Linked DNA regions of Ovis aries. The protein of the gene in region 1 purifies or fractionates together with the protein of each later gene. This does not show direct contact. Links are inferred from orthologs where the notes say so. Each region holds a gene or a part of one and is shown on either strand. Other genes may lie near its edges. The genes, in order: KHDRBS1 and PLCG1.

Region 1 (10,080 bases):
ACAGTTTAGACACATATATACACATACACAAAAACGTGTTTTTTAAAAAAAGAGCAGAAAAAATCTGAGTTAAGTAATGGGAATCTAGTACCCTTTTAAACTTCTATGCAACTTTAATGTAGTTGTGACATTTTAAAATAACTAATCAAAACAATTTTAAGGCATTTTCCCTTTGTTCCCATGTAGTCACAGCTAAGGAATTTTTCATATGCTAATCCCAGATTCAGCATTATAATTTAAGATTCACAGTTTTCCAAATCTGCAGATCCAGGTGTGTGCCTTACAGATGTCACAAGCAGAGGCAACACTCTGAAAAGGTGATCCATCTGCTCCTTAGATTTGTTCTGCCTAAATCTCCCAGTTCTTCCAACTCCCTCTATATCCCAAGGACATGAAACAGCAATTCCACTGCCTGACTCACCCTTGGCTCTGGCTGTAATAGCCTTCATAGCCTTCATAACTCTGTTCTGCGTATGTATCATCATATCCCTACAAACGAAATGAAACAGAAAAAGTCAAAATCACACAAAGTAGCTAAGGCAATATGGAGGGCTTATGAATGAACAGAACATGGAATTTCCCTCTAAAGTATTAACATCTGTTGTGGAATAGTCAAGAGAGAAAGGTTTAGAAAACGATCAATCAAATTAAAAAAACCCTTTCAGCTTGGGCAGGAAATAAGGTTCAAGGTTGAACTTTATCAGCATTATCAGTAGTAGTAGGAGGAGTCCCCTTATTAAAACACTACACATCAAGGCACAGCTTATTTCCTGTTTCATCTACATATGTATATAGTAAATTATACTTAAAATGGAAAAATCTTCTCTCATAGTTTAACAATCACTGCAACAGAAGAAGGCAGATTCTAAACCTTACAGGCAGTTCCTGCCACCTACATCAAGGGCCAAGGCCCTGTCACTCAACTTCCTTTGACAATCTGTTAGCTATTAAGAAATGGCACATGGTCCAAACGTCTTACATATTCTTCATATGTTTCTGGCGCAGGCGGCGGAGGCAAAGGTATTCTCTGGATGCCTGCTGTCCGTGCCCTTGGTGCTGGAGCACCCCTCACAGTAGGTGGGGGTGGCACCCCTCGAGTCACAGTGGCACCTCTCGTGATGGCTCCTCTCACTGGTGTACCACGCACTAAAGCCCCCCGAGGTGGCCCAACGCCACGGCCCCTGTAAAAAAGAGTGTATTTTAAATGGATATTTTTAATAAATAGGCTACTTTCATGTTCAGACTTGTCTTAAAATTCTGGAGCCAGGTAGGAGATTTTATGATGCCTTAAGTTGACTATTATCAAAACAGAGGAATGGGGACTTCCCTGGGGGTCCAGTGGTTAAGGCTCAGTGCTGTCACTCCTGTGGCCAGGGTTCAATTCCTGGTCCTAGAGTTAAGATCCCACAAGCTGTGCAGCACAGCCAAAACAAAACAAAACAAAACCACAGAGGGACGTGTAGGTAGGTAAAGGACCCATTCTGGAAGGTTCCCCAGGCCCATGGTGGACCTGCTAATATATTATTAGTGGACAGTCTGTCTTAAGAGTCTGAATAGTCCATAAAGGTCAGTCAGCAAAGGTAAAATTCTAAAGTCAGATACCATTTAAAAATGCTGAAAACTGTTCAAAAGTTAAAAACAAACACCAGTTTTGGCAGGACTGCTGCACCTGCTTACAGCCAAAGTAACCAAGATCTAAAATTCCACTTTTTTTTTTTTGCTGTGCCGCATGACTTGCAGGATCTCAGTTTCCCTGATTAGGGATTGAACCTGGGTCACAGCAGTGAACGTGCCAAATCCTAACCACTAGATCACCAGGGAACACCCTAGAACTCTACTCTCGATGCAACATACACATCCGGAGACCCCTTCTAAGCTGGAGATAAGGGCAGCAGGAAGATAGAAATGGTACTAGCAGTCAGATTTACATCCCATTTCTACCTGTCTCTATTATTTTTACCTGGGAACAGGTGGAGGAGGTGGTGCAGCTCCCCGGCCTCGCACTGGCACCCCACGTCCACGGGAGGGCTCTGGTACTCCATTCAAGTAGGAAAGCTCTAGAAATTGCTCCTGGCAGATATCATCCATCATATCCTGTGGATAAAAGATAATGAGAGGGAGTATTGTGCAACATCTCTACCTTCTGCTGAGAAGTCATCTAGCCCACATGAGCCTTGGATGTGAAGAATAACTCTGAAAGCCCAGATGAAATCTCAGATTGTTCATTCTCTGAAGTCAAATGGCACGCTACCTGTCACCTCTTTGAGGAAAATCTTGATGGTAGGCCCCTCATCGTTCAGATGAAGTTCTTCCAAGATGTGGTCCCTGCCTAGCTCTCCAGATCACTTCCATCCTCTATCCATGTATAACCTCCTTTCAAGCCATGCTGAACAACTTGCAGTTCAGAACACGGCATACTCATACACATCCATTCTTGCAAACAGTTTCCTTTTCCTAGAATAATAAAAGCCACTACCATTAATTAAGCTCTACAGCTGGGTACCATATAATAAGCCTTACATAGGGTTTTCAGTTTAATCTTCAAAATAATCCTGAAGTAGGCAGATCTTCCCATTTGGGAAAACAGATTCAGAAAGCATAAAACAACCAATATAAAGACATAGAGCTAGTGAGTGGCAGATTCTATATGTTAATTCAGAATCTCCAAAATCAAGGCTTTGAATCATTAATGTATCAATTAATCAATATATTGTTGCCTTTTTTTGTCCACCTGAAGGACTCTAATTCTTATAAGATTTAATCAAAAGTATTACCTCTTTTGAAAAACTTTCTCTTGATGCCAACTCCTCACTCTCTTTTCCCATGGCACAATGTAATCTTCTCTAAGCACTTACCACATCATTTAAAAAATGTCTGTCTGTCTTTCTCACTAGGTTATAACCTCTTCAAGAACCATTTCTGTAACTTCAGACCCAAGCATAGTATTCAGCACCTACCAGATACTTAACAAATGTTTGGGATGAACAAGGAAACTGAGGCTCAAAAAAGTGATATAATAACTTGTCCAAGATGATTCAGATAAAGCTCCCAGTCCAGTGCTCTTCCTACTGTACCAGTCTCTAAGGGGAAAACGGAGGGCTCTGGTCACAGATGCAAAAACAGGCTCATCTGTTTTCTTTACAAGGAGGAAGAACCGAGTCAAATGCCATTTGTAAATCTTTTCACATATTTCCTGATGAGAGTCATTCAGTCTCAATACTTAGTGCACTTTTATATATCCCAGGTGTATACAGCTTCTAAAAGATTCTAGTCGCCACAGAGATGCTCCCTCCACCTCCACCCCCTGACTCTTCACCTCTTCCTACCTTACACATTTCTACTGCGTGAGACTCCCATTAGAGAATCAAGTGACCAGTGATGGGCCATTTGCTCAGATTTCTCTAGCTGCCATAGCAACACTGAGGAAACCCAGATCTCCTTGGTAGGCTTCTTTTTTGAAGACCCACTTACATGGAAGTCTTGGAGATGTAGCTCTTTTCAGAAATATGCTGAGATTAATGATAAAGAGAAGATGGGCATTCCTCTGCAGTTCTTCAGAAAACGGATGGCTCAGGATGCTTCAGTACACACCTCAAAGAGTAAAGAAGCCCCTCAAGGGAAAATTTACCAGCTCTGAGTTTTTTCTAGGATATTTTAAATATGCTGTTTCAAGCTGAACATTCTAATGACAACATACTTAGAAGCAGAGCAGCTTAGACATTTGAGACAGTGCTGGAATCCTTGGAGCTCAGCATTATAGAGACACACTGCCTATATATTTTTGCTCTGCCAATTCTCACAGCCTCTGACAGTTCCAACTCCCTCATTTTACATGTATAAGAAAACCAAGAACTATGTATCATCTCTTCTCAGTGATGAAACTATGGTGCTTACTCAATTCTAGTTGAATAGTACTCCAAATGCTTCCTAAGGTCCCAGAGTCTTCTTTGGTTATTAAATATTGAACACTAAGTAGTATGTTAACTCTGAAAATTACCAGGTCTTGTCAAAAGGCAAAAAGTCATCATTTCCTACTTATTCAAAGAATGAATAACCTCTGACCAGGTGGTAATAAGGAAGACAGGTAACCTGGTCTGTTCCAACTCTTCCAAGGCCTTAAATACATTCTGAAAGAAGCTATATACCAATCTGTTTAACGTCATTAACAGTTAACGCCTACAACCATCATGCCTCCTTCAAATCAACTCTACTTGAGTAAACTCCTCCAGGACAGAGTCTTGAATGCACTCAGGTCAGAATTTAACCCATTAACACTGGAGGCCAGATAACACATCATCAGACTAGATGATACTGTTATCATCATCTAGACTCTCAGGAGTCTATACTATAACCCCTTAACTGCAGGGGGGTTACAACCACCTTCACCATTTTCCTGTCATAATCTCCTGGTTCCATACTAGCACCAAAATACTTAATTTATTGAAGACCTTGTTAAATCTTTGTTAACCAAATGTTGGAATGCCAAGACATACTGTGGATCCAAGATATTGACAAAAGATACTGGCATACAACTAAAATCACATTAAAACTAGGACTGGTAGAGTGGCCTCGGGGCACAGTGGTTTGAGAACTAGGTGCAAGTAATGGACTACCTCAGAAAAATGAACATAAATGCAGAATTGGATATGCAATTTCAGGTTATGCAGAGACCCTGGTTAAGAACCCCTGCCTTAGCAATAAGCACAAGATCCTAGTTTTCTCTTGCTCAAATGATACAGGATATGGATTTCCTTACTGGTACTAGAAACTTCTTGACTTCCTCCATAGCATGGGCCATAAGAGCATAAGCCTCACATGGGGGTCCAAAGACTTCAATGAAGACATGCAGATCCATATTCAAGTGGGCATATTTGGGGTCTCCACCTTTGCGCAACTCTTCCTCCTGTGAAAAAATGCACAGAAACAACATTATCACTTGGACTATGTAGAAAATGACACCTTTACCATTAGGCCAAAGGGACAGTAAGAAATGACTCCAACACCTCAGAAAAACCCAGTAAAGTGTAAGAAAAAAGTAAACTCTGGAGTACAGTAATTTACACAGTCTGCTAAACCTGCGATTGGTCTGCTGCTAAAAGCTGTTGTTCTGAATTGCTGGTGTGTTCATTGGAGCTCATATTAGAAGGCACAGAAGAGACAAATGTAATTCCAGTCTCCATTCGGATAACGGCTGTTTGCCAAGCATCCATCCACTCATTCATTAATTGCCAAGCATTTGCTTTTATTAATAAACCCCAGGTAGAGCTGTTAATCACCAGCTCTTCTGATCTGCTTGTATAGAGAAGGAAAAAAGTCACAATAGAAGAAAATCTCATGTACACCTCATTAAACAGAGTATTATACTTCAGCCCTAAATGCTCATCAATCAGGCTGCATACAAGGAGGCCTGAAAGAGTTAAGTTTTTAGGCTGGAGCAGGTTATATCCCATCTAAAAAGCTGATTCTAGAAAGCTAAGACTATTTTATTTTGGTGGGAAGTTTCTCCACACTTAGAGAGAGTATAAAGAATACGGGGCTATGGCCTGGGGAAAAATAAGCTCTGGATTCTATTGTCAGGATTTCTCATGGTTCCTTCTGTGACATCTTCCTTTAGCATGCCTCACATTCCAGCTGGCTATAAAACAAACCAGCCAACTAATCTTCAAACTCACCTGCACTCACAACACTATTGCTCACATTTTCCCACACTAACTGGAAACAGAATGCTCTTCACATTTAGTGTCTTTAGCTGGGTAAGTTTCAGTACATTCAGCCTCCCCTTCCAAGTTTTCCTAGATAAGCTTACTAAAGGCCAAAGCTGCTACTGCTATTTCCATTACTACACAGTCAAGTCAGAAAGAAAACAATCACCAGGGCATACCAAGGTTCTTCTTGGGTTGCCAAAGTAAATTAACTGGTCTACAATCTCTCACATCCAATGCGAATTTAAGGGAATCACTTTCAGTACACACGTAAGAACTAGCTTCCATAGGTATCCATACTGGACTCTAGGTTACTGGAAGGCATTCGGGTGTCTTCTTGCCTCATTAATGTGAGCTTACCTTGGCTTTGTCTCTCATTGAGCCTTTTCCCAACACAGAAATCTTTGCACCAGTCTCTTCTTGCAGTCTTTTGATTGTATTTCCCTGTGGTCCAAGGATCTTTCCCACAAAATTGAACTGATAGAAAATAAAGACAGATTTCTAAATGTGTATGTTCCTATAAAATATTTCTATATGTATTATTTATCTTCAATACTTCCTGTAAAGGAAGTAGAGTACTAACCACTCCCATTTTACTGAAGGATATACTGAAGTGGTACTGATAAAATTGATTAGCCAAAGGTTATACAACTGGAAAGAGGCTTCCTGGGTGGCTCAGTGGTAAAGAATCCATCTGCCAATGCAGGAGATGCTGGTTCAATCTCTGGGTTGCAAAGACCCCCTGGAGGAGAAAACGGCAACCTATTTCTGTATTCTTGCCTGGAAAACCCCAGGGACAGAGGAGCCTGGCAGGCTACAGTCACAATGAGTTGGACATGAGTGAGCAACTGAGCATGGCATGGCACAAAACTGCAAAGCGGCAGTTCTGGAACTTGAATTCCTGATGTAGTATGATGTTCTTTCCAAATTATCACTCCACAACTCTTTGTAATTTAACATACATAAACGTTTTTAAGGCAGTTACTTTAGAACAGAACAGACATACGTTACCCCCCTTTGGTAGTACTGGTCTGACTAAAACTAGTTTGTTTTTTTATAAAAGGAGTAGTAGTAGAAACCATTTATTTAAAAGTGAAACTTTGGGAATTCCCTTGAGGTTCACTGGTTAAAACCATGTGCTTCCACTGCAAGGGTCACAGGTTCCATTCCTGGTCAGGGAACTAAGATACCACAAGCAGTATACCCCAAATCAAAAACAAACAAGAGCAAAAAAACTTTGAGTAAGAAATAAAATTAACTTATTCATTGTGTCACAAGGATTTGTGTTGTATTTCTTTTATTTAAACTTCAGCTCAATCTTTCGACAAAGAACAATTACGGTTCAATTTTTTTCCTTTAAGCTTGAAGCTAAACAAACATTTGAGAAAGAAATTCCTTTTTTGATAATAAAAAGATGGTCGCATTTCCTTCCTGGCTGTAGCTATGCTCTTAGTTGCAGGCCTGTGTGTCTTGCCTGCTGGATACAGTCATTATAAGCATGGGACAGAACCTTCACCAGGCCCACAACCTCTGCAAATCTTTTGTTACAGCTGGTGCTACAAGACACACCACATACTACACATTCTCATACTACGAAGCCAATTCAAAGAAATGAGGCACTCTTTCCCTTACCTTGGGATACTGCTTGACAGGTATCAGAACCCTCTCCTTCAGCTTCATGTTCTTGTGAGAAAATAAATCCAAGTAATTCTCCTCATCGTCCTTTTTTGAATCCCCTTTCTGAATCTTCTCAATTTCTGAATAGGACAAACAGAAATTTAATTTAGCTTTGTTCTTTTAAATAAAGGCAAAATTCTGAGTCTACTTAAAGCAGTAAGAGGGAATACTGTGTAATGAGACCAAATATTAATGAATAGTTCAGATGACTAGTGCCTTAATTTCAAATAAAGACAGCACCAAAGCTAGATGAAGTTGACTAGGAAACCAAAAGCCTGCTTCTTTTTATTTGGCTATGCTGGCTCTCAGTTGTGGCATGTGGGATGATCTCTGAGTTATGTGGGATCCTTCACTGCACATGACTCTCTCTTGTTTTGGCTTGCAGGCTTAGCTGCTTTGCCATATGTGGGATCTTAGTTCCCTGACCAGGGATTGAACCCTCATCCCCTGCATTGGAAGTCTGGAGTCTTAACCACTGGACTACCAGGGAAGTCTCAAAGCCTCCTTCTAGTAAGGGCAGTTTGCTCTTCTACTTTCAGCAGAAACCTCTACAGAGACAGTCCAATGTTCTTTAGACAGGAGTGAGATGAGGAAACGGGGATAAACAAACTGGAAAAAATTTAAACCTGCATCAGGAAAAAGTACAAAGCCATATCTTTATTATTATTATTCTACTTATGTATTTTGGCTGCATTGGATCTTTGTTGCTGCACTTGGGCTTTCTCCAGCTGTGGTGAGCGGGGGCTACTCTCCAGCTGCAGTGCTTCTACTTCTCATTGTGGTGGCTTCTCTTGCTGTGGAGCACAACCCCAAGGTGAGGGCGCTCAGCAGTTGTGGTGCACGGGCTTAGTTGCCCTGAGGCAAGTGGAATTTTCCTGGCTGGATCAAACCCATGTCCCCTGCATTGGCAGGTGGATTCTTAACCACTAGACCACTAAGTAAGTCCCCAAAGCTGTATCTTAATGAAGAGACAAAGTTAATTTAAACACACAACTGAGAGTCCTATTAAAATTTTGTAACAGTAGTGCTTTGGATAGTAGCAGTCCTTCAAAGTCTGAAAGACCTGGGTTTTACTCTGCCACTCACTAGTTGTGTGAACTCTGAAAAGTTTAACTGCTCTGAACTTTGATGTCCTTATTTGTAAAATGGACGCAGTATCTACCTCAAGAGGTTGCTATGAAGACAGAATAAAGTAACATGGAGGGACTGCCTTGGTGTTCCAGTGGCTGGGACTCCTTTCTCCCAATGCAGTGGGGCCTGAGTTTGATTCCTGGTCAGGGAACTAGATCTTGCATGTGGCAATTAAAAAGATGCTGTATGCCACAACTAAGACCTGGCACAGCCAAATAAATAAAATAAAATATGCAAATATGCTAATTAAAGCCCATTTCTTTCTGCTTTTCCTTTTGGCCATGCAGGATCTTAGTTCTGCCCTCATCTTAGTTCTGTCCCCTGCAGAAGTCCAGAGTCTTCACCACTGGACCACCAGTAAAGTCCTAAAAGCACATTTCTTAGAAGTGTTTTAATATCTACTTAACACTCTCTAGCCCAAATTCACTCAGTGTCCTAAAGGAAAAAATGCACCAAGGTAATTTCAATTCACAGGTTAAGACAGTTTCATCAGCTAGAACCTTAGTATCCCAAACGATTCCTATCATTAGGAAACTCCATTCATTTATTCAGTGATTCCAAGTGTCTGAGCGCTTCCTATGGTGAGGCACACGAAGGGACAGATATAGGTATGATCACTAAGCACCATGATCACTAAGCACCAGGCACTTGGCCCTGTAAAGTATAGGAGAAACCACACAACCAGTTAGACATGGTCCCAATCTCCACTATGTCTATATACAAGGGGTACCAGTATACGAAGCTGGCAATGAAGAATAGTTAACAGCTACAAAAGGAGTACTAACAGAAATGGGGCAGAGTATGGAGGCAATGAATACTAGCAACTAAAACATTATACTATGGTCCACTGAGAATAAAACAAATTTTTATATGCCCTAAAATCAGTGGAATACTCTAACACAATGTTCTCCTTATACAACATTTCCAGTGTTTCTAACTTTCATATTTTAAAAAAATTTTTGGCCATGCCAAGGGGCATGTGGGATCTTAGTTCCCCAAGCAGGGATCAAATCTGTGCCCTCTGCACTGGCAACATGGAGTCTTAACCACTGGGCCAACAAGGAAGTCCCTATCTTCTGTAATTTAAAGATAGTTCAGTTCAGTTCAGTCGCTCAGTCGTGTCCGACTCTTTGCAACCCCAAGAATCACAGCATGCCAGGCCTCCCTGTCCATCACCAACTCCCGGAGTTCACTCAAACTCATGTCCATTGAGTCGGTGACGCCATCCAACCATCTCAACCTCTGTTGTCCCCTTCTCCTCCTGCCCCCAATTCCTCCCAGCATTAGAGTCTTTTCCAATGAGTCAACTCTTTGCATGAGGTGGCCAAAGTATTGGGAGTTTCAGCTTCAGCATCAGTCCTTCCAATGAACACCCAGGACTGGTCTCCTTTAGGATGGACTGGTTGGATCTCCCTGCAGTGCAAGGGACTCTCAAGAGTCTTCTCCAACACCACAGTTCAAAAGCATCAATTCTTCGGCACTCAGCTTTCTTCACAGTCCAACTCTCACATCCATGCATGACCACTGGAAAAAACATAGCCTTGACTAGAGGGACCTTTGTTGGCAAAGT
Region 2 (9,607 bases), on another chromosome or scaffold:
AGAGATTGGCAAATGAGCCTAAAGCCCTGGGGCCTTGAAGGAACAGGATTAAAGCCCAGCCTCTAATGTTCACAGTGATTGAACCTTACAGGGGATCCTAAAGGCCTGTGCCAAAAGGGAAAAAGGACCCTTGAAAAAGCCCCAGGGGCAGAGAGATAGTAAGGAGGGATCCCAGGTGGATCCCAGGTCCTGGTCCTGACCTGGCCCTTCTGGAGGTGACCTAAGTCTTAGGGAAGGAACTTTGTGTGGAATCTAAAAGAAGTCTACGGGAGAAAGACCAGCTGAGTGTAGAACCTGAACAGCCGACCCACGGTAGCTGCAGGCTCGGCCGCTCGCGTGGACGGAGTGGACAGCAGGGGTGGCCAGGGGTCACTGCGGGTGTCCTGAGGCAGCTGCAGAGGCCTCCAGCAGGGAACAGAACCCTGGTCAGGTCCCGGAAGGGCCACTGAGGGCCCTCGGGCTGAGACCAGACTTGGTCAGTTTAACTGATGTGACCTTGTTTTGTTCCACGAGCTCCTTTGGTGCAGTGACCTAATGCCACTTGAGTTGTTTTTCCCCCAAGAACTGAAATGGTGGGAGGGGATGAACTCAAGCTGAAAGGCTAGTGAGTGTCCAGCCCCAGGCCCAGCCTTGGGCAATGATGTTCAGGATGTGCCTGGTCAGGAGGGAGGCCCTGCCCTCAGCACCAAGACCACAGATCCTTGTCAAGGGTGGTGTCCCTGGCTGAGGTCAGAAACCACTCAGGCCTCCTCCTGGCAGGAAAGGTGGGGGTGGGGGGGCAGGGGTTGGGGGTTGCTCTGGATGCAGAAAGCCCCTGCTCTTGCAGTCGGTGCTGTGTGTGAGCAGGTGGAGAAGCAGGCTACTCCCCACTGCGGGCCAGGACACTTCCGCCTGAAGTGAGGGCCTCCCCACAGCCCCCACCCCCATGCTGGGCCTCCTGGTCACTCAACCATTGTCAGGTCTGGAGGAATTCGGGTTAAGCTCAATCTGTGGATCTGCTCGAATCTGCTGCCACATTTTCTGCTAGGAAGAAGGATCAAGAAACTTACAGGGAAGGGCGAAGGCAGGTGTCTCCTCCAGTCAGTGGGGCTGCCCAACAGCAGAGCCAGTGACGGAGCAGGCCCACTGGGTAAAATCAAAGTGGGCAGGCCCATGACAGCGCACCCGGGCCCCAGCCCAGGCCCCACCCACCCACCACCTCTTCCACCGCTGGTCAGCAAAGCTCGCTCCTGCCCGCGAAAATCTGGGAACACACGGGTCAGGAAGACTGCGTTAATCCCTGCCTACCACCTTCTTGTCCGAGGGGGAAGACATCCTTCTCCGAGTCAGACCACGAAGCGCCAAGAAAGCTGAGGCGACAGTGAGAACCTGAGCAGGGCTTTTGGCTACATCTAGTTCAGGGACAACAGGAAGGATCTCAAACTGTGATCCCAGTTCTCCAAGTGGATGGTGCTCAGAGGGGCCTGCAATGGACCAGGACTGGCCCCAAATCTGAGAACTTGGGAAATGCATGTCTTGGTCTGACTTGTCATATAGGAAAGGGATACTCTGAACTGTTAACTCTATAAAAAACCTGCCTTGAGCTCATCTTCAAAACCTTCAGCCTCTCCAAAGCCAGGGACCATACTTGCATCCCTACATACTTGCACACACCAGGGCCATATGTCACATGAGGACCATTTTAAGAACCAACTGATTACACTTACCTGTGTCTCTTCAACAATCACCCTCAGGCTTCCTGGGCTGGCATATTACGCCCATCCCCACCCATGCATCCAACAGGGAGGCAGCTTTCTTCTCTGTACAGCATCATTTTTGATCCACCAGCACACACCACTACAAAAACAGCCACAGGAAGGGAAGGGCAGGGCCCTTTAAACCATATTCTAGGCACAAAGACTTCGGCCCCAAGCTCTAGATGCAACCCGAGTATAACCCAGAAACCTACACTTGAATGCTGTGTGGGCCTTGTTTTTAAAGGAGCAGTTTCTGCAGAACTGGGAAGGGACTCTGGCTGCTTGCAGGCGGGCAGCACTCTACGCTGCCTCACGCTCGGCACGTGAGCTGGGGGAGAGGGTGGCCTCACACCGCGTCACAGCTCAGAGGGAAGGTCTGCTGGACCTGGGAAGTAAAAAACCTCCTCACCTGCTTCTATTGCAGAATAACCACCAGGCAAGCAGCCCTGGTTAACACGTCTCTGGAGAGGAGCAGGTGTTCCCGCGCCTCAGAAAGAACTCAAAAGTTACAGGATAAAAGACATGAGAATAACTTTGTGTGGCAGTTAGATCTTAAGTGGGCAGCGTAGCGAACGACCAGCCTCAAGCCTGGGTTTGGCGGCAGGTTGGCGCGAGCTCAGGGCTGGCTGTTCTAAGGCACCTTCGTGCCCACAGGCTGGGTCTCTGGCCCCTGTCCTTTGAAGTGGGGCTGCGCCCCTCCAGCCTTCCACACCTGCCTTGGATCTTTCCACCAGCCGGGCAGAACCTGCCATGGGTGCAGCAGGGTCCATCAATAACCAATGGCCTGTGCCCTGCAAAGCCGGCGGCTCCTTCATTCCTCCTTCTTCCTGAGGGATAGCATCTCGCGTCATCTTTGCCTTTAAAGAAACCTGCGTCATCGGCTGGCTTTGCTCCGCGTCCTCGCCTCCCGCCCCTCGCCCACCAAGGCTGAGCAGCAGGAAGAGCAGAACGTCATCATGGTGCCACTGAGAAGTAATTCCACTTTTTACAGTCCTTTTCAGAAGGAAAGCTTTTTCAATAAAATTTAAAATTTTTATTAACATTTAAATTATAAACGAAACGTTGGCAACCATATATAGACATGTTTGCTATGGACAGCTGATTGGGAGGTGGTACTGTGAAATACCATTTCAGAATTAGTTTAAATAAATCAATACGTTTTCTGAGAAACTGTGTGATTTCCTTCGGTTTACAGTTCATGATATGGAAAGTTTTAATATAATGTTAAATAATTTATTGTCTATCCTAAAAGCTATAGAAAATGGAATCACTATTGGGATCAGATAATAACAAGGCTTGAATGGCTCAGTGGTTCTTCTGAAGAGTATATAGAAATCTTAAAAAGGTAACACTGGTAACTGAGCTGTAAATCCGTAAAAATAACAGGTCTGCCACAGTGTGCAGATAAGTTCGTTCATTTTGCTTCCCCAGTCCCATCCCCCCACCAAGCAGCTTTCAGGTCAGAAGTGGAAGACATAGAAAATCATACATCCTACATGAAGGAATGAAGGTCGTGAGAGACAGAGTGTGCAAAAATAAACTTTACAAGTCCATACTCCAACATCACGTCCATCTATTGTCAGGACCTGATTGACTTCACAAACACTCAAGATCACCCAGACAGCGTCCTCTTGCAGGGTCGTCTGGCAGACTCTGATCCAAGGTGTCTTGCTGTGACAGGGAAAATGGTCTTCACTCTGATTTGGGACTCACGGCTGGCCTGCTGAGCTGCTGTGGACGGACATGTTCCTTTTGAGAGGGCGTTTCCTGAACGTGTGGCGGCCAGTGCCCAGCTGGACCTCTGCTGTGGGGACTGGCCTTTCCACTCTGGGCCCATAGGTGCCCATCAGTCCTGACCCAGCTGGCGTCTTGCTCTGGCTCTTGGGGGGCCGTGACGCAAACACAGGCACGTCCTCACTGATGATGTGGGAGGAGCCGCCTGCTGCCCAGTGCCCACAGACATGTGCCCCCTGGTGAGCGGGTCCTTCAGGCTTGCGCCCAGGCTGCAGGCAGGGGGCACTGCGGCCCAGTGGGTGCCCCAGGGCCGCTGTCCTCCCATGGCCCCGAGGCGCTGCAGCTGTGGCCCTGCAACCCGCTATCGCTCTCTCTGTCCCAGGTGGCACCCTGGGCCACCTCAGGCTCCTCCACAGGCCCCTCATGGCCTGGCTGCCCGATACTGCTGCCCTGCACACGAGGCTCTGTGTCAGTCAGGTGGGTGGCGCTCCTGGTCATGGGCAGCGTGCCCTTGTGCTGTACCCTGCTCTCCAGGCAGGCCCTGTGCTCCTCCGCCCGGGCTCCAGGACACCTCCCCTCCCTCCCTGCCTGGCTGGGGTTTAAAGCTGCAGGACTGTGTAAACGTTGACTCCGGAGCCCAGCGAGGCTGCTGTTGCTCCGCTCCTCTCAGGAATGTCAGCGGCTCCTGAGCCTCCTGTGCGGCCAGCTGAGGCAGCCTCTCTCTCCGAGAGGCAGTGGCCGTGGTAGTCCCAAGACGGAAGGCTCCATCCCCAGAAGGCAGGGCCAGGTGTGTGTGCTTCAAGGCCAGACAGTACAGTTTTTTGCCTTCACCCAAGGCTGGGACGTGGAGGCCCAGAATAGGAATACATCTCATTAATGGCGTGCTTTTCGTCTAGCGTCCACTGCTGGAATCCGGGCTCTAGGTGGCGAGGCCAGGAAGGGCGGCCCCATAGGCCACTTCCCTGGAACCAGTCCACGGCCCCCTCTCCGTGCGCAGCACGGCACCTGCTGCTCTCCGCGAGGCTGGGGCACAGCTAGAGGCGGTTGTCTCCGTTGACCCGAGTCCTGCGCGGGGCCCTGGGCAGGAGGAAGAGCATCCTGACGGGCAGCAGGTTGAGGCCCAGGGGGATGGGCGAGGGGAACTGAGGGCAGCCAGCCACCCCCTCAGCCTCTCAGGACCCCTTCTCCAGGCCACCTTGCCCCCACCCCTCACCTGCGATCCCGACCGTCAAAATGGTCTGCGAGATGCTCCTGGGAGATACGGAAGTCCTCAAAGGGCTGCTGGTAGCGAGCTTCGAAGGAGCCCTCCCGGGCTCGGCCGTGGGACAGTGGGCCCGAGTCGCAGCTCCGCTCCCGCAGGGACGCACCCCCGAAGGGGCAGAGGTCGCCGTTCTCCTGCTTCGGCAGGGACACAGGGCTCAGTGGCTGCCGGGCCCCGCACCGCCCCTCTGCCCGCCCGCCCGCCGGTACCTTGGCGGGGAAGACGTCAATCTTGACGAGCAGGGAGGCCAGCTCCAGGCCCTCACTGTAGTTGTTCTTCAGAGGCACCGCTCTGTAGCCTGGGGGGAGGAGGCTTGGCCCTTAGCCCAGGGGGACGCCAGCAAGCTGCCCCACCCCTGAGCCGGATCACGGTGGGCACGGCGTGGAGGAAGGGCCCTCACCTGTCTTCAGACCCTTCACCGGGAAGGTAGCCTGAGCCAGGAAGTTCTGGTCACTAAACATGTCCTCCTCATAGACCACAAAGCGCAGGAAGGCGAACTCGGGGTTACTGATCTGGAAGTGGAAGGGCTTGGCTGGCCACACAGGGTTCAGTCCATTGTCCACTGCAAAAGCAAGGGCAGAAGGCCTCAGGCCACTGCCGGGAGGATGGAGTCACAGGCGCAGGGGGTCTGACATGCCCGGGGGTGTGGGGAGGGGAGACGTACCCACAAACTCCGTCTTCTGCTTGATGCTGTCATACTCGGCTCCAGCCACCTCGATCTCCACAAAAGGACACACGATGCCTCGGCCGTTCTTCGGCAGGTGCCGGGCCCCCAGTACCTGTAAGGCAGGCAAGGATGGGCCTGGGCTGGTCCTTCCGACTCACACCCGGTCCCCAATGAGCGGCGGAGGCAGTGCGCCCTCTGCTGGGCCCTCAGGACACTGCCCAGAAGTCCCATGTGAGTCTTTGCACTCTAACCTACCTTAAATCCATGTGCATTTTAATACGAAAATGTTTAAATTACTTCCCCCCGGGACAAAAAAGTAGAAATCTCTGGAAAAAAGACATGGTCACCCCCACTCTGTCCTCGTTTCTCCTTTGAGACCCACTCGGGCCCACACCCCCTGCACCCCACAGCACCAAGCCGCCCGCATCACAGCTGCTCCCCTGGGGCCTCGAGAGGGTGGCATGGGAGCTCAGTGCTGTTCAAGCCCCCGTTCTAGCAAGTACCATCAAGCCGATTCCTGTGGCAGGGGCACCAGTTCCCTGCCTGTCTCTGCCCACTCCTGCCAGGCAGTGGCTATCCACGGTTTGGTATTACTGGACCGCATGACTCCCGAGTGCCAAGAACTGGCCACACTGAGCCCAGTCCTCTGGTGCAGGCCTGAAGCCCCACGCCCACCTCAGAGAATGGCTTCGTCTCCCTCAAGCTCCAGGATTGTCCAGCACCCCTCCCATGTCACGTTAGCCAGCCCCCCGGCCCTGGCGCCTAGAACCAGCCCAGGAGAGCGCCCCCTTCCCACCTCGATGCAGATGGCGCACGGCTCCAGCCCGCGGAGGCTGCTCTTGTCAAAGGGATCGAAGGCCTCATCGCGCATGACATTGGGCTGCAGCACATAGCCGCAGTGCCCGCCAGCCAGGAACAGGGCCTGGTTCATCTGCATGGGCTTGTCTGCAAGAGCGGGTTACAGTGGACTCCAGCCCCAGTGCCCGGCAGGACCCTGCCCCCGGCCGCTGCCTCACCTGGGGTCTGGAAGTTGAGGGCCACAAGCTGGCTGCCGCAGATCCACATGGGCAGGGGGTCGTAATTGGAGGAGTCCAGCCGCTGACCCTTAGGGTAGATGCGGGAGAGCTGCAGGCGGTTGTACTGGAGGAACTTCTTGCCTTTGGCCTTGTTTACGTACTTCTCGGCCTTGGTCTCCGGGAAGGATGACATGTCACGGTAGCAGGCGCGTTCGGTGCCAATCTCTGGGCCCAACAGGGAGCGCGCTCAGAGTCCGCCCATCCAGGTGCTGCTGGGGCCAGCCCCCTCCCAACCCCGGGCTGGACCCTTACTCTCTTCATCGAAGGGGACAGGCCGGCAGTAGACGACGAGCTCTGAGAGCTCCAGAGCGATCTTCTTCCTCCGCTCCATCATCTTGCCCTCGGTGAGCTGGGGACACATGGGCCCTGAGCCCGGGCTGGAGCCCCCAGAGAGAGGAGCCCCCGGCCACCTTGGGCATGCCCACTCGCACCTTCCAGACCCGGCTGTCCTCAGTCACACCCCAGAAACCGTCCTGAGGACAACACACCCTCCCAGCTTCAGAGGCCGGGATCCTCACACCACCTGCGCCTCAGAGACACTTCAGGGCGCTGGGCCGGCTGCACCTCAGGGCTACTTGGTCCTCAGCTCTGGGCCTGCCACGGGCACTGACTGCACTGGGAACGTGGGCGCAGTCCTCTGGGTCCTTGGGACCATCCTTCCAGCCCTGGCCCAGAAGCCTCACCTCTCACCTCGCAGTTCTCCTTTCTCAAAACCACCACCTACCCGCCACGGCCAGACTTCAGCCCCAGCACATCCCTCACTAGCACCCCGTGCGGCCCTCGGACTCGTGGAGGCCCGCTTCCTTCCAGAAGCAGCTCCTGTTCTCGAGCTCTTCCTTCCCTCCATAGCCCAGACCCCAGGTTCCATCCCTTCAACCACCAGATCCTTCCAGCCTGGTCCTTCCAGGCCCTGCTCGACTCTAAGTCCTCCGCACCCAGCCCTCTCGGCTTGGCCTGCGGGCATCCTTTCTCCAAGGCAGCCACGGTGTGTCCCGCAGCCCCTCCACCCCACTGCAGGATTCCCACACCCCGGCCAGCACGCCCTCCTCTCACCTCTAAAAGCTGGTCCTTCCACCGCCCTGCTCTGCACAGGCGGCGCCCTTGCCCTCCACCAGCCGAGGCCCACTGCCATACCACCCAGCCGTGACCGCCCACGGCCACGGCCGTCTACAACCAGCACTTTGAGCTTCTGGCCCTGCTGTCTGCTCTGTGGCCCGCCTCACGTCAGACACCCGGCCTCACTGGTCTGCTCATCCTGGCCTCTTGTTTCTCAACACCTGCGTCCTCAGAGGTCACACTCTGCTCCCAACCTGTACCACGTCACCCTAAACCTTGGGCACCTACTCCTGCTTCCAGCCCAGGACCTAGCCTCTCGCCTCTACCCTTGACACCAACTGGTCACTACGCAGAGCCACTCAGGAACGTCTTGGGTATACCTCAAACTCAACACACCCCCAACATGCCACACTGCGGAGCACGTGTGTCCCTCCAGCCTCTGCCAAGCAGCGGGGGCTGCCCCGCGGCTGGAGGACCAGCACAGGCTCTCACCCTGGCGTCCGCCGTCTGCGCCACCTCCCGGATCTTCTTCACCCAGTCCTGAAGCTCCTCCTGTGAGTCGGCAGCCACGTCCAGGGACCAGTGTGCCACTGAGGCCATGCTGATGGAGAAGACGAACAGCCGGTTGTTCTTGCCCTCGGGACGGATGGCTGGAGGGAGGGAGGAGAGGAGAGGAGAGCTGGGGATACGGGGCTGAGCCCCCACCCCACCCCAAGCATGGGCAGAGCTCACTCCCTTCCTCTTCAGGGTGGAGGACGGGCAGCCCAGAGACAAGCCCCTGCCCCCACCTCTAAGCCTGTCTCAGCCAAGGACCAGCCCTCCAAGACCACGGACTTCAGCTCGCCAGCGGCATCATCCCCAGTGTCTGCACAGGGCGAGCACGCAGGCCTCAGAGCCGGGGGGCAGGGGATGGGGAGCCAGAGGGTGCCGAGGTGTCCGGGAGTGGGGAGAGCTCAGAACGAGGGCAGCCTGTGGGGCCCAACCCTCAGCTTCCTCTCTCTGGGCATGGAGAGAGCCACCAGGGACAGCCTGAACCTGAGGGGCAGAGAAAGGGCTGGGGCTCACCTATCTGACAAGCTGGCACATCCAGGACCCCCCGCAGCAAGTCCCCGAGCGGGCTGTTCTCGTCCAAGTGCTGAGGGAGGCAAAGCCCAGAGTCAGCAAGACTGCTGTGTGCACGAGGGGATGCCTGCATGCACGTGAGAAGTACACCCGACAGACGAACATGAAACCACATGCGTGCGGCCCGTGTTCATCAGACTGCGGCCTGCGTGTGGTGACGGGACCACGGGAGGGCTGTGCGCGTGCGGGGGGGTGGACGCCGTGCGGGAGGCTGAGCACGGGAATCCCCTCCCACCGACGTGGCCCTGCTCTCACCTCCCTCTCGGGCTCCAGGGCCGCCGGGCTGACCATTTCCTCCACGTAGTTTGAAGGGAACCACAGCTGCTTCTTCCCACCGTAGTCACCCCGCCACCTGTGGAAGCCGCAGGGTGCTGACCCCAGGGACCACCCCAAACTCCCGAGAGGAAGCAGCTCTGCGGGTGCATCGGGACCCACACGGGTCCTTGCCTCCCAAGCCCCTCTCGCGTGTACACGGCCAGCGCCCAAGACGCCTGGCCTGCACCAGGGGCTCTCGAGGGCTCACCAGCCTCCCTCCTGCTTCTCCACATTCTGGATGATGGCGCTCTTGGTGAATGTCAGCTCGTCCTCCCGCTGAGCCTTGTAGTCGAAGAGAGCTTTGACGGCACACTGAGGGAGAGAAGCCCTGGTCCAGCAGACAGGCCTCCCGCTCCTCCTCTCCCACCCACGGCTGCACGTGCACCAGCCCTTGTGACCACTCTCCCCCGGGCCTGCAGGAGGCACCAGGGCAAAGGGGACAGATGAGCCAGGGCTTCTGGAGGGAAGCTCCTCTGGGTTCGGGGGGACCTCGCAAGCCCCCACACTGGGCCCCAGGAGTTAGACCGGGAAGCTGGGATGGGAGGTGCTGAGCACCTCCTCTAAGACCAGGATGGCTTGGGGTGTGGCTGGCACTCCACCATTCAGCAGCTTCAAAGTAAGAGAAGGAATGTGGTCCCAA

Evidence for each region.
Region 2: the proteins of KHDRBS1 (region 1) and PLCG1 purify together in Homo sapiens (affinity purification with western blotting; 7 studies listed by BioGRID and IntAct, with this or other methods). This does not show direct contact. The link is inferred for Ovis aries from reciprocal best matches to the Homo sapiens genes KHDRBS1 and PLCG1.

The regions. Positions count from the first base shown.
Region 1 is NC_056055.1:235,451,218-235,461,297, forward strand, and holds part of KHDRBS1 (KH domain-containing, RNA-binding, signal transduction-associated protein 1), read right to left. Parts: intron 7,460-10,080; coding exon 7,335-7,459; intron 6,180-7,334; coding exon 6,063-6,179; intron 4,904-6,062; coding exon 4,757-4,903; intron 2,095-4,756; coding exon 1,961-2,094; intron 1,182-1,960; coding exon 980-1,181; intron 490-979; coding exon 422-489; intron 1-421. UniProt on the Homo sapiens protein: Recruited and tyrosine phosphorylated by several receptor systems, for example the T-cell, leptin and insulin receptors. Once phosphorylated, functions as an adapter protein in signal transduction cascades by binding to SH2 and SH3 domain-containing proteins.
Region 2 is NC_056066.1:69,810,881-69,820,487, reverse strand, and holds the end of PLCG1 (1-phosphatidylinositol 4,5-bisphosphate phosphodiesterase gamma-1), read right to left. Parts: intron 9,280-9,607; coding exon 9,176-9,279; intron 9,005-9,175; coding exon 8,908-9,004; intron 8,666-8,907; coding exon 8,596-8,665; intron 8,181-8,595; coding exon 8,023-8,180; intron 6,824-8,022; coding exon 6,727-6,823; intron 6,640-6,726; coding exon 6,415-6,639; intron 6,344-6,414; coding exon 6,195-6,343; intron 5,511-6,194; coding exon 5,396-5,510; intron 5,294-5,395; coding exon 5,132-5,293; intron 5,030-5,131; coding exon 4,941-5,029; intron 4,869-4,940; coding exon 4,684-4,868; intron 4,548-4,683; coding exon 4,505-4,547; 3' UTR 2,747-4,504; downstream 1-2,746. UniProt on the Homo sapiens protein: Mediates the production of the second messenger molecules diacylglycerol (DAG) and inositol 1,4,5-trisphosphate (IP3). Plays an important role in the regulation of intracellular signaling cascades.